Linked DNA regions of Mus musculus. The main gene of each other region encodes a partner of the protein of the gene in region 3 in a complex. Each region holds a gene or a part of one and is shown on either strand. Other genes may lie near its edges. A codon is read from its position in the direction of its gene.

Region 1 (3,956 bases), about 38 Mb from region 3:
TTCCAGGCCAACCTGAGCTACATAGGAAGACTGTCTCCAAAACCAAAAGCTGGGTCAGTACTGGTGGCACAGACCTGTTAATCTTAGCTACTCAAATAAGGTAGGAGGGTCACAAATTAAAGCCAGCCTCAGCAACTGAGCTAAAACCATGTTTAAAAAAAAAAAAAAAAGGCAGGGGGGGGTGGGGAGGGAAGAAGGAAGGAAATAAATGGAAGTTTACTAAACACAAATGTTAACTTCTAGTGCAATTCTCAGCAGCCAAGACAAAGTAGACATTCCTATATGTGCTGATCAGTGGTACACAGAACAGCACTTTGCTAATAATTTGTTTAGCAAAAGGGTACTTTCTCAAGGTAAACTGCAAACCATCTAAGAATGAATGACATTTAAATCCCAGTATGTTAAACCATAACATGAACTGAGTTAAATAACTTTGATAGTTCTTTCAATACTTGTTCAAAAAGTGAACTCAAAAACTGAAAATTTCACCATGCAAGGAGACAGAAGCCCCGAGTTCTTTTTAAAGCAAAAGAAAAGGGAACAACTTTGGAGCAACACACAGAACTCATATCTGACAAGACTAACATAGCTCTGAAGGAACTTCTCAAAACAAATGACAAGAGCACAGACTATCTGCATGAAAACACTGTCCTCCGTGACACTGTATGACCTGTAAGAATTGACCTGTTCTCACAGTTCAAAAGCTTGATAAGAATAAAGCAGCGTCACAGGGCTGGAGAGACAGCTCAACAGTTAAAAGCACTGACTGCTCTTATACAAGACATGGATTCAGTTCCCAGAACCCACACGGCAGCTCACACCTGCCTAGAATTCCATTTCCAGAGGATCCAAAAACCCTCTTGTGACTTCCACTGGAACTGAGTGTGCACATGATACACATATAAATACCGGCAAGACATTCAGATAAAAATATAAATAAATCTTCAAAAATGTTAAATAGAGCATCAATATAAAGTTTACAACTATTGAGAGACTTGACTTGCTTCAAGTTATAAACTTAGGTTTCGAGTCACCTGTGATCTCAAAGAAGTTATTCTCTTTTGCAGATGCAAAAACCTAGGCTGAGATAAAACGGGCTGGGGGGGTGTGATTCAACCACACTCACCTAACTTGAAATGTAGGAAATAACCAGTGAATTATTGTGAAATGTTTTTTATTCACGCATACTGGACTGCAGGAATACTTTAAGAACAGAATTAATGAAGCTATCATTACTTTGAAGATCCACAGGTTTCAAATCAAACGTCTGGCAAATACTCCAGGCAACGGTGGAAATGGATGCTTAAAATCTAACTAGTCTGAGAAAAGTCAACATAAGAAGTCAGCAGCGTTCATTACTATACAAACACCTGAGGGGTGCGGTCACTAAGAGACCATTCAGCTCGCTCTTCTGTTAACTAATCCCTATAGGAACCAAAAAAGTTATCTTCCTTTCTACCTACGTCAGATTATTATTCTCCAAGGGCAGCTTTCCATGCTCAAGCAAATATAACGCTAAAAGAAAAAAATAAATAAAAAGTATCAGTAAGTGCCCCAAAGCTCAGCTTTCAGAACAGAAAGAAATGCAGAAAGTTATTTTCACAGCTCCTTCGCACCCAAAGCCACTTGGCCTGCTTTAAACCCATTTGCTGCGGAAATACACCCTAGGGTGGTTCGACGGCTCTCCGACACCAAGCCCTAACTGGGAAGCAGAACCGACAGTTCCAGGCAATGAGGAAGAGCCTGAGAATTACTAGAAACCGACGTCCGCAGAACCGAGAGTTGGAGAGGAGAGTGAATAGTGCGGTCTCAGGTGAGTTCTTTAAAAGAAAAAGAGAAAGAAGAAGAAGGAAGAAGAAAAAAAAAAAAGCGAAAGTGTTTGGACCAGAAGTTAGTTGGAAGGTTAGAGGGAGGCGAGGCCGATGTCCGGCTTTCAGTGGACGGCACTGCAGGGACCAGGCAGAATTGCCCCTGCGTGGGAAATGCTCAGAGTTCTCAGATCTGACCCGAGTCCCCAACACAAGAACGCTGATACGTGGCTCCGAGAGGACACGCGGGGGTGGGGCCCGGCCCCGCTAAATCCTAAGCTCCCCGAACGGAGCGAGCTTTCAAAGGAGCCTCGCAGCCTGAGAAAGTCAATGGGTTCAAGGAGGCCTGCGGCGGCCAGACCACGCCAAGGGAAGAGGAAAGCGACCGCGCACGACAGCTCCGGCTCTGAAGCTCCCGAGGTCGGCCCTCAGGAAGTCCAAGCAAGCCCGGGGCTCCCGGGTCCCTCCTGACCCAAACCTGGGTCCTCCTCACCCCCCACCCCCCACAGGCTGAGCCCGGACCCCTGGGACTGACAGGAGGTTTCCGGCCAGACGCTCGCGGCTGCGGCAGAGCCCAAGAGCCGACCCGCCCTCGGTGCCGCGAGTGACACTCACCGGCCCGAAACCTCGAAGGAAACCAGCAGCTTCGGGGGCGGCGGCGGCAGTGGCAGCAGGAACCGAACATCCAAAATGGCGGCTCCCTCGGCCTCAGCACCGCGACTGCAGGCGGAGGGATCCCGGGCGAGGAGGGCGCCTCTACCTCACGCCTCGCGCTTCCCCGGGAGACGCCGCTCCCCGGCTCCCTCTCGCCGGCCGCCCCGCGTCCCTCCGACTGCAGCCCGTGCCGTCTCCCACCCCGGATGACCCGAGGACTCGGCCCCCGCCGAGGACTATTTGCCGAGGAGGAGGCGACTGCGCCGGGCAGAGCGACTCAAAGCGTAGCAAGGGTCGGGGCTGTCACTGATGACGCTCGACGCCGCTGCCGAGTCACCGCTGCGAGGAGTCTGAGCTAGCACGCTCCGGCCCGGCCCTGGAGCCGTCGCACTTTGGTTCCGTTCTGGGGGGAGGGGAAAACTGTGCAGCCAGGAAACGGTGGGGGTCACCTGAGGTGGGCGGAGCTCAGCGAGGGAGCTGGGGAAGGCGGAGAGGAGATGCAGGGGAAAGCGCATAGACATGGTGTGACCAGTTTTGTCCGAAAGGATTCCTAAGTGGTCCTCGTTGGCCAGAGGTTTCTGGTCAACATTAGAAACATGCTCCAAGTGGCTTTGGATTCTAGGGTTTTATGGTATCTTCAATTTTTTTTTTTTTTTTTTTTTTTTTTTTTTGCGAAAACAGGTAAAAAGATGAAACCTAAGAATGGATTCCAAGCACAGCACCACCGCCTTGTGCGGCAATCTCACCTACGATCCAGTCCCCTCCTGTGAGGGGAAAAAAGAATCTGGACAAATGTCAGCTAAAACTCTTCCAGAATAGCTTTTCCATCTATGATTGAATGAACTAATGACCTGAAGCAAAGAAAGTCTAACTAGACAGTTCCTGGCGTGATAAATAATTACTAACTTGTGACCCAAGTCTTTTCCATGTGAACCTAGAGATCCTTGATATCTTGGCCCATTTAAAGGAAAGGTGACCTACCTAGAATAAAATCTTTCCGATAGATTGACAACAAAGGTATCCCAGATGTGAATAAAACACAAGACTACACTGAATACCAAAGACCAGGAACTAAGCAAAAATCCTGAGTTTCAAATTTGAGTGTCATAAACAGGAAGTTGCATCTTTTAGACATTCGTTTTTCATGCAAGGATTTCAAAATACAGACGTTGAGCTGAGTAAGTCTAGCCATACAATTTTGACCTTGAATTTCTGGAGCATGCCAAGTGGCTGGAAAGAAAGGATACCAAGGGCACGATCAAATTTATTAAATATTGGTGTCATATTGATCATAAGGTACCATCGTATGTACAACCTAGCCCGCTAAGCAATCTCGTGAGTCAAAGTAAGTAACCAAAGTTTACAAATAATGAGATTTAAGACTTGAGAAAAACTACAACTGTCTCTCACAATGGAGTCTGCCTTAAGATGTCATCTTACACAGAAAATTCACCACACCCCATATACATATTCCAACCCATACCTACCGGTTTA
Region 2 (4,301 bases), on a different chromosome or scaffold from region 3:
CAAACATACAGCCCCAGACTCCCCCACTGTTCCTTGATACCTTCTTGAAAACCCCTGTCCTCGCTGTCAATGCTGGGTGTCCCCACAAGGAGGATCGTTTTTTTTTCCTGGGGGAAAGTCAAAGAATCTTATGCCTGTGATTTGGGTTCAAATACTGGCTCTACTAGCTCGAGTACAGCCTCAGGCAAATTAATGTATACTAGGCTAGCAAGATAGCTAAATCAGTTACCAAGCCCGATGACCCATGCTCAATACCCATGACCCACATTACAGGAGAGAACGGACTCCCACGAGCTGTCCTCTCTCCACGATCATAATGGAGCAAGCACCCACCCACACACATATGGTAAACTAAATGTAAAAACATTTTATTACACTTATTTGTGTGTGTGTGTGTATAGGTCAGAGGACAACTTTGGGGAGCTGGTTCTCTGCTTCTACTGTGTGAGCTCCAGGGATCAAATTCAGCTCGTCAGTCAGGCTCGGCCACAGGGGCCTTTACCCACTGAGCAGTCTGATTGGTTTTGAAAAGGATTAAGCAGTCTTTAAAGCTCCATTTCTTTATCCGCAGGATAGAAATAATACTTTCTTCTGGAGGTCTTTTAAGATTTGTTATTATCATTAAAGATTTACGTTATGTGTATGATATTTATGTGCCCACATGTATGTGTGACACATGCACGCCTGTTGAGTCCTCCGTAACCGGAGTTATAGATGGTTGTGAGCCACCATGTGGGTGATGGGAATCAGACTCAGGACCTCTGCAAGAGCAACGCATGCTCTTAACTACTGAGCCATCTCTCCAGCACATTTTTATTAGTTTTAATTCTGTGTATGTGCGCATGTGTCTACATAGTGGGTTTGTTCATTTATGAGGGTGCCTGACACACAGTAGGACTTGTAACATGCTAGGTGCTGCTATTTTCCCCTGACCTTCTGTTTCCTAACCCTGTTTTCCATGGAGAAGATGCCTAGCCTCATGATAAGCTGAGGCCAACAGACAACAGTTCTCTGTGTGTTCTTCTAGACGCCATGTCTCACAGACGCCCTACCCGATCCTGCCATAAACCTTCAGATGCCTCTGACTCAATATGGCCTCTCGTCAGTCCCATACCTGTCGATACTCTTCCCTGAGTAGTGTATATAAATAGAACTGTGCTTGGCAGAAATATTCAGATTTTACCCTCCATTTTTCTCCACCATCCACACATTTAGTTCCACATACTGCCTCTCTTCCCAGCTTTTTTTTTTTTTAGACAAGGTTTCTCTGTGTAGCCCTGGCTGTCCTGGAACTCACTTTGTAGACCAGGCTGGCCTCGAACTCAGAGATCTGCCTGCCTCTGCCTCCCTAGTCCTGGGATTAAAGGTGTGTGCCACCACGCTCGGCTTCCAGTTTCTTTAAAGCGTTCTTTTATATTCTTTTACACGTATGTGTGGGGCACCCACGTGCCATCACTTACATGCAGAGGTCAGAGGAGGAGTCAGTCCCCTCCTTCCACCACATGGCTCCTGGGAATGACCTCAGGTTATCAGCCACCCGGACAAGCTGAGCCGTCTCTCTGGCCCTCTTTTCTGTCTTTCTTTTGTGAGACAATGTTTCATGTAGCACAGGCTGATCTCAATTCCCTAAGTAGCGAAGGCTGCCCTTGGTTTTCTGATCTCCCTTTTTCTTACCTCTGAGTACCAGGTTACAGGTGTGCACTCTAAGGCCTGACCTTTCTTCTGAGACATCAGGTGACTGATCACTGGGTCCCTCAGACAGGGGCATAGTCACCCTGGAGGGCTCTCCTAGGGAATGTCTGTGGAATAACTAGCAAGCAGAGTCCTCACTGCTTCCCGCATGGCCCTAGTTTTATTACCAGTTGCAGAGGTTCCTCATTCCATATCCTGAACTCAATTCCCAGCAAACAGCTCTGAGAACATGGCCCGGGTTGGGATATCTGTGTGTGTCCCACACTTCCAGTTTAGCAGGTTAAGTTAAAAGAAAACAACACCCCAGAAGCTAGAAGTAAGTACTGTTGGTGGGGGGGATAGGGAAGGTGAAGAACTGAGGGAGTCCTGTGTAGTTAAGAAAAGGAGGTGACAGCTACAGCAGGAAGGCCTGGGTTCCGGAAAAGAAAATGCCCCGGAGAGGGTGGAGAGCTGGGATTGCCAAAGTAGGGAGTCTTCCAGAGCCTAGGTCCCCGACGGCAAACCCTAGAGCCCACCTGAGCCAGAACTCCGGGTGAGCTGTCAAGGAAGCGAGACAGGAGGTTCACTCCAGAGACCCGGAAACTGTTCCCTCCCACACCGAGCTCTCCATGGGCCATGCTCCAGTGTGGGCCTCAAGGGAAGGGGTTTCGGCGACCTGCAACCATCCCGAGTGACCCCGGCGCCCCAACCTCGTGCCTTCCCTGCGGCAGTGCCTGGGAGGGTCTTAAAGATTCCCAGAGTCCCGAGCGCTTCTCCAGGCTCGGGACAGTCCCGCCACCATTCAGCTCTAGTCCCCTCTCTCCTAACCAGCAAGACTCCTCCCAACCCCTGTCCCTAGTGCCATTTCCAGCTTCCGAGGTCAGCTCTCTCCAGCAGCTCCAGGAAGTGGATCCTTTGCGGACCACAGGGAAGACAGGGCGACTCCCACAAAGGGCAGCCCCCCTCCGGACCCCTGCAGGTACAGCCCACGCCCCTCGGGTCCCCGTCCCCTCCCTCTCCTCACAGCCTACCATCCTGCAGCCTCCAGCCCGGTGCGTCCCTCTCCGGCCACCGTAGAAGCCAGCTCCACTCCCAGTCGGATTCTTTTCTTTTCCCTCCCTCTCCGCTTGAAGCCCCGCCCCAAGGCCTCGCCGGCTCCAAGCACGGACGCATTGCGCAGGCGCCAACGCTGCAGCGACCCACCCCCATCTCATCCGGCGCGCAGGCGGGGCTGGAGGCGGAGAAGCGGAAACCATGGCAACCAGGTCCTTGACTTCAGTTTTGCAAAAGCCTGGTCGTCATGGTAACAGGGCTGTCTTGGTGGGTTGATTGGAGGATGGGAAGGGAGGGGGTAGAGGACAATGAGGACTTCGAGCTTTGGAGCATTTGTGGGGGAAAAAGGCGGGAAAAGGGTGAGAGGTGTATGCACGATCTTTGGAGCTGATGAAGAAGTTGGGAGGAATGATGTGGAAAACATCAGTCAGAGGGTGGTGATGGGCAGGATGAGGGAAATAGAGACCGGTAGGCTAGGAGAATAAAGAGTTCAAGGACAGCTCAGGGTTCCAGAGCAAGCAAGATCCTGTCCCCAAAGCAAACAAGGCAGGTGTGGTGGTGTATCCTGTGATCTCTACACTTGGAAGGCAGAGACAGGAGTTCAGCTGCAGCTACATGGCACGGTCTTGACCACCCAAGGCCACAGAGAGCCTGTCTCCAACAACAACAACAACAACAAAAGTGACACAAAACAGTGCAGATATGATGGTTCGGATTGTAAAGATGTTTCCCCAAACCCACAAGGTGGAAAGAAAGAACTGACTCCTGCAAATTGTCCTCTGACCTCTGTATAAGCAAGCACCCTAGCTTGTATACACCACACACACACACACACACACACACACATATATACACACACACACAGACAGACAGACATGGTCACAGGCAACACAAAATACACTTGTAAAATGTAATCTTAAAAAAAAACTAAACCAGGGATAAAAATCAGGGATAAAAAAATTGTTGAAAATGGGAATACTGTAACAGGAATATAAAGAATGGGAGGAAATTGTAAATTAAGGAGAAAGGGGAAGAAATGAAGAGAATCTTATAGTATTAAAGGGGTGTGGTGTAATCCCCATAGCCAGAAGGCTACAGCCAGCCTAGACTACACAGTGTGGCTCTGTCAAGCAAGCAAGAGTGGGATTCCAGAACTGGGTGTGGTGAGGCAAGTCACAATCCCAGCCCTGCAGAGGCTGAGGCAGGAAGAGCAAGAGGTCATGACCAGTTTTGGGGCTATGGAGGAATATGTGTGTGTGTGTGTGTGTGTGTGTGTGTGTGTGTGTGTGTGTGTGTGTGTGTACCAAACTGGATGTGCTGGTATACACCTATTATGTGATTATTTGGAAGGTACAAGCAGATGTACTAAGATCAAGAGTTCAAAATGACTCTTGACTACATAGCTAGTTCATTTTATGGACTGAGACACAATGTCAAAAAAAAAAATCGTTGAGCAACAAAACAATTTAGCCAGGCATTATTGTGCACATGCCTGTAATCTGGTCCCTGGGGAGGCAGAGGCAAGAGGACTGGTCAAGAGGGTTCAAGGCCAGACTAGGCTATGTAAAGAGAGCAGT
Region 3 (3,509 bases):
GCAGGGATGGCGTCTACAGGGTGGTGGGTGGCCAGTCATGAGGCACCAGGAGCACAGCTCCAGCTGGCTTGTCCCTGGGGGAGGCTGGCAGGCCCTTCCTTCCCACCCTGGATCAGAATGGGACCAGGGAAGGGGTTCTGTGTGAGTCCACTCAGGCTTGAGGAGAGGGTGGCTGCATGTCCAGGGCCACCCTCTAGCTTCAGTTTTGGTGAGTGTGGCAGGTGTGCCCTGAGGCTAGGTGGGCTGGGCTGGTGGCAGAGGCCTCTCACTGGGTCCGGAGCTGATAATCTAAAAACAGAACATTCACCTTCAGCTCCACACAGACACCCAGGGCACCCACCCTCAGCTCCATACAGACACCCAGGGCACCCACCCTCAGCTCCACACAGACACCCAGAGCACCCACCCTCAGCTCCACATGGTCACCCAGGGCACCCACCCTCAGCTCCACATGGTCACCCAGGGCACCCACCCTCAGCTCCACACAGACACCCAGGGCACCCACCCTCAGCTCCACACAGACACCCAGGGCACCCACCCTCAGCTCCACACAGACACCCAGGGCACCCACCCTCAGCTCCACACAGACACCCAGAGCACCCACCCTCAGCTCCACATGGTCACCCAGGGCACCCACCCTCAGCTCCACATGGTCACCCAGGGCACCCACCCTCAGCTCCACATGGTCACCCAGGGCACTCACCCTCAGATCCACACAGACACCCAGGGCACTCACCCTCAGCTCCACACAGACACCCAGAGCACCCACCCTCAGCTCCACATAGGAAGATACAGTCTAGAAAGACCTCTGTAGGTCCTGCCAGTCAGGCAGCCACTTACCTCCGTTCTGTGTGATATATCGTACCCAGGGCAGGGCCTGGTACCCACTCTTCTCAATGATTTTCAGGTAGCGCACCTGGACACAAGGACCTTGAGTGTGCTGCACCCCCACCAGCACCCCTCATCCAAAAGGCAAGGCCAAGGGGGCAGGCCTGACATTGTATGAGGGGCTGTCAGAGGCAGCCAAGACCCAGGCTTGGTAACCTTGAGCCTTTCAGGGGAATAATATGCTCCCCTCATCCACACAGTTTGAGGGGCTCCAAGGAAATAGGCCCTATGTCAGGATGGGGGTTTGGAGGTTCTGTTGTGACTTTGGGCTCAAGTGTGGGGTTCAGGCAGTCAGACCTAACACATTCATACCTGGATGCCAGAGGTAGTGAAATAGGGGATCTCAAACTTGACGCTGATGGGGGGCTTTCCCTCCTTGTCTTCAGCTTCCACACTGGGAAGGCCAAAGTGGGCCCGCATCAGGTACTCCTTGCCACCCTGGGGGCCGATGTAGGAGGTAGTTAGGTGGCTGCCCAGCCCACAACCAATGTGCTGTCTCTCAGGCTAGCTCATGGCTCCCAGGAGCCAAAGCAGGACAGACAGGGTGTGAAGTGGCTTTACCAGCTCCTAGGGAGACGGATAGGTGGCTGTGGAGCCAGACTGTCCAGACAGGTCCACAAGGAAAGCACGGGAGCACACTGGGGAGAGTGGTGGGTCCTCCTGCACAGCCCCAAGGGGACTGTGAACAGGGAGAGGGAGGACACTGAAGTGTGGGCAGGTGCAGGTTTCCAGGAGTCCAGCAATAACTTGGAGGTGGTGTGAGAGTGGGACCAGTCAGGTAGCTGAGACACTTGCCCTGCTCTGGCCAGGTAGCACATCAGGCCTGGGCTTGGCTGTCCCCTCTGTCTGGCACCCCAACTCTGTTATACCCACGACACGTGGCCTTTGGTTTCCTGAGCTCACACTTAGGGGCAGCAGGAGTGGCTGTGACTAGGACCATGCTTAGGAGCTGGGGTGCAGCAGGACAGAGCTTCCATAGCCTAACTCCCCTTTATCAGCTCCCATCCATAAAGGATGCCATGACATCTGCATGGGAGCTGGAGCAAACAGCCTTCTGACTCCTGGTGCCTAACAACAAAGTAAGGGGAAATGGAAAGAGAAGACCTGCTCACAGGAAACACAAGAGTAAGCAGGGCCTAGCAATCTCAGCATTCAGGGCAGGAGGAAGGTGGCAAGTTTAAGGCCAGCCTGGGATACAAGAGTTTGAGGTCACTCTGGGCTACAGAATGAGTTGCAGACCACTGACACTATCCAGGGAGACCCTGTTTCAAACAAAGTCACTACAAAATAAAAATACAAAACAACTTCTATGTGAAAACAGAAGTTGTAGAAAATGGTGTTGCATGTTACACTGTAGGTTTCATGGGTACAGATTTAGGGTGGAGCTGGAAGAAATGTTTATCTGCATCAACACTAATGTAAAAATTACCAGTGAGTGGACTGAACTTAAAGGAGGGAGTGTGACTGGGCTGGGGACTGGGTCAGTGGCTGCAGTATTGCTTTGGGTGCACAGTCACAAATCAAAGACCAAGGAAACATGAGGACAGATACCAGAGCACGCCTCTAACCATAGCACTGGGGAGGCAGAGGCAGGTGGATCTCTGTGAGTTTGAGGCCAGCCTGGTCTAAACAGTGCTACATAGTAAGACCCAACCTCAAAGACAAAGACAAAAATGTGATGGACAAGAATCCAGAACTGTTAAGCACCTCTGGCAGGAATGACACTGTGCCACTGCTACACAAAACACCAAGGCAGAGCCTCAAACAATTCTAACAATTCTAATGGCAAATCATTCTCTTGTGGGTGTATGCCTGAGAACAGGAAGCAGGGTATGGAGGAGAGCCCTGTGCACTAATATCCACTGCAGCATAACTTGGGTGCACCAAGAGTGCCTATCAGTGAAAAAGGAAGGGGCATGGTGTGGAGTACTACCTGGCCTTAAAAAGGACTGCAGCAATATGTAGGACACTGATGAGCTTTGCCACTGTGCCATGTGACAAAAGGCTGGGAAAGTGCAATAGTGGTCACCAGGGCCAGGCAGCATCTACCCTGAGTTTGGCCATCCTTCCCACCTATAATCCCCAACTCTGGGAGGCCCTTAAGTCAGTGTGGACAGTAGGAGAGTCTACCATGCTTGGGGTACCTTGGGATCATCTCCAGTACACAGAAAGGGTAGAAAGATGAAGGCAGCCCTGGCTCTCACTATTTCTTCTCTGGTGAGGACAAAGATAAGGGTGGAGGTGCACCAGGGAATCCTACTGTATGCGGTCCTCTGCGCACTGTGGCTGTGCTGCAGCACCAAGTGAAAGCTCTCCTGGGATGGATCTATAGCCAGCTCTCCCCTAGTCCTGTAGGGTACAGAGAGGGGCTGCAGTGTTCCTGGGACCAGGATGCCACTAAGCAGGACTGCCCCTCACTGAAAGGAAACACCTTTCCCAAGGTGGCACAGGGATGGGTCTTGGGAAGATATTTTGGGGTACCTGGCAAATATGGGGCTCACCGGAAAGGACTTGACGGACCACACGATCTCACTGTTTTCAGGGACCCACTTGACACTCCCCACTGTAGTCTTGAACTTGGGTGAATCAGCATCGTTGGGGACTGGTATATGGATCTCTAC

The links. The genes of interacting proteins can lie anywhere in the genome.
Region 1: the proteins of Ap1m1 (region 3) and Ap1g1 are in contact, whole or in part, in a cryo-EM structure (PDB 7R4H), measured with the Mus musculus proteins. Residues at the interface, in NP_031482.1 of Mus musculus: Ser289, Asn318 (codon at 3,485), Asp319 (codon at 3,482), Ala320 (codon at 3,479), Asp321 (codon at 3,476), Ser322 (codon at 3,473), Trp334 (codon at 3,437), Pro336 (codon at 3,431), Glu337 (codon at 3,428), Asn338 (codon at 3,425), Ser339 (codon at 3,422), Gly361 (codon at 1,293), Leu362 (codon at 1,290), Pro363 (codon at 1,287), Ser364 (codon at 1,284), Val365 (codon at 1,281), Glu366 (codon at 1,278), Ala367 (codon at 1,275), Glu368 (codon at 1,272); in NP_001288140.1 of Mus musculus: Arg24, Glu25, Gln28, Lys29, Ala32, Arg35, Ser36, Arg39, Glu40, His64, Phe65, Gln67, Leu68, Gln97, Val99.
Region 2: the proteins of Ap1m1 (region 3) and Ap1s1 are in contact, whole or in part, in a crystal structure (PDB 1W63), measured with the Mus musculus proteins. Residues at the interface, in NP_031482.1 of Mus musculus: Lys12, Glu31, Asn186, Asn188, Val189, Leu190, Glu232, Glu234, Asn270, His272, Arg421 (codon at 277); in NP_031483.1 of Mus musculus: Lys26, Lys30, Arg33, Glu34, Gln37, Lys43, Glu51, Trp52, Arg53, Asp54.

Annotation. Positions count from the first base shown.
Region 1 is NC_000074.6:109,777,430-109,781,385, reverse strand, and holds the start of Ap1g1 (AP-1 complex subunit gamma-1), read right to left. Parts: upstream 2,804-3,956; 5' UTR 2,424-2,803; intron 1-2,423. UniProt on the Homo sapiens protein: Subunit of clathrin-associated adaptor protein complex 1 that plays a role in protein sorting in the late-Golgi/trans-Golgi network (TGN) and/or endosomes.
Region 2 is NC_000071.6:137,043,306-137,047,606, forward strand, and holds the start of Ap1s1 (AP-1 complex subunit sigma-1A), read right to left. Parts: upstream 2,804-4,301; 5' UTR 2,706-2,803; coding exon 2,703-2,705; intron 2,596-2,702; exon of another isoform or gene 1,732-2,595; coding exon of another isoform or gene 1,675-1,731; intron 1-1,674. UniProt on the Homo sapiens protein: Subunit of clathrin-associated adaptor protein complex 1 that plays a role in protein sorting in the late-Golgi/trans-Golgi network (TGN) and/or endosomes.
Region 3 is NC_000074.6:72,253,514-72,257,022, reverse strand, and holds part of Ap1m1 (AP-1 complex subunit mu-1), read right to left. Parts: coding exon 3,390-3,509; intron 1,327-3,389; coding exon 1,201-1,326; intron 917-1,200; coding exon 841-916; intron 289-840; coding exon 266-288; 3' UTR 1-265. UniProt on the Homo sapiens protein: Subunit of clathrin-associated adaptor protein complex 1 that plays a role in protein sorting in the trans-Golgi network (TGN) and endosomes.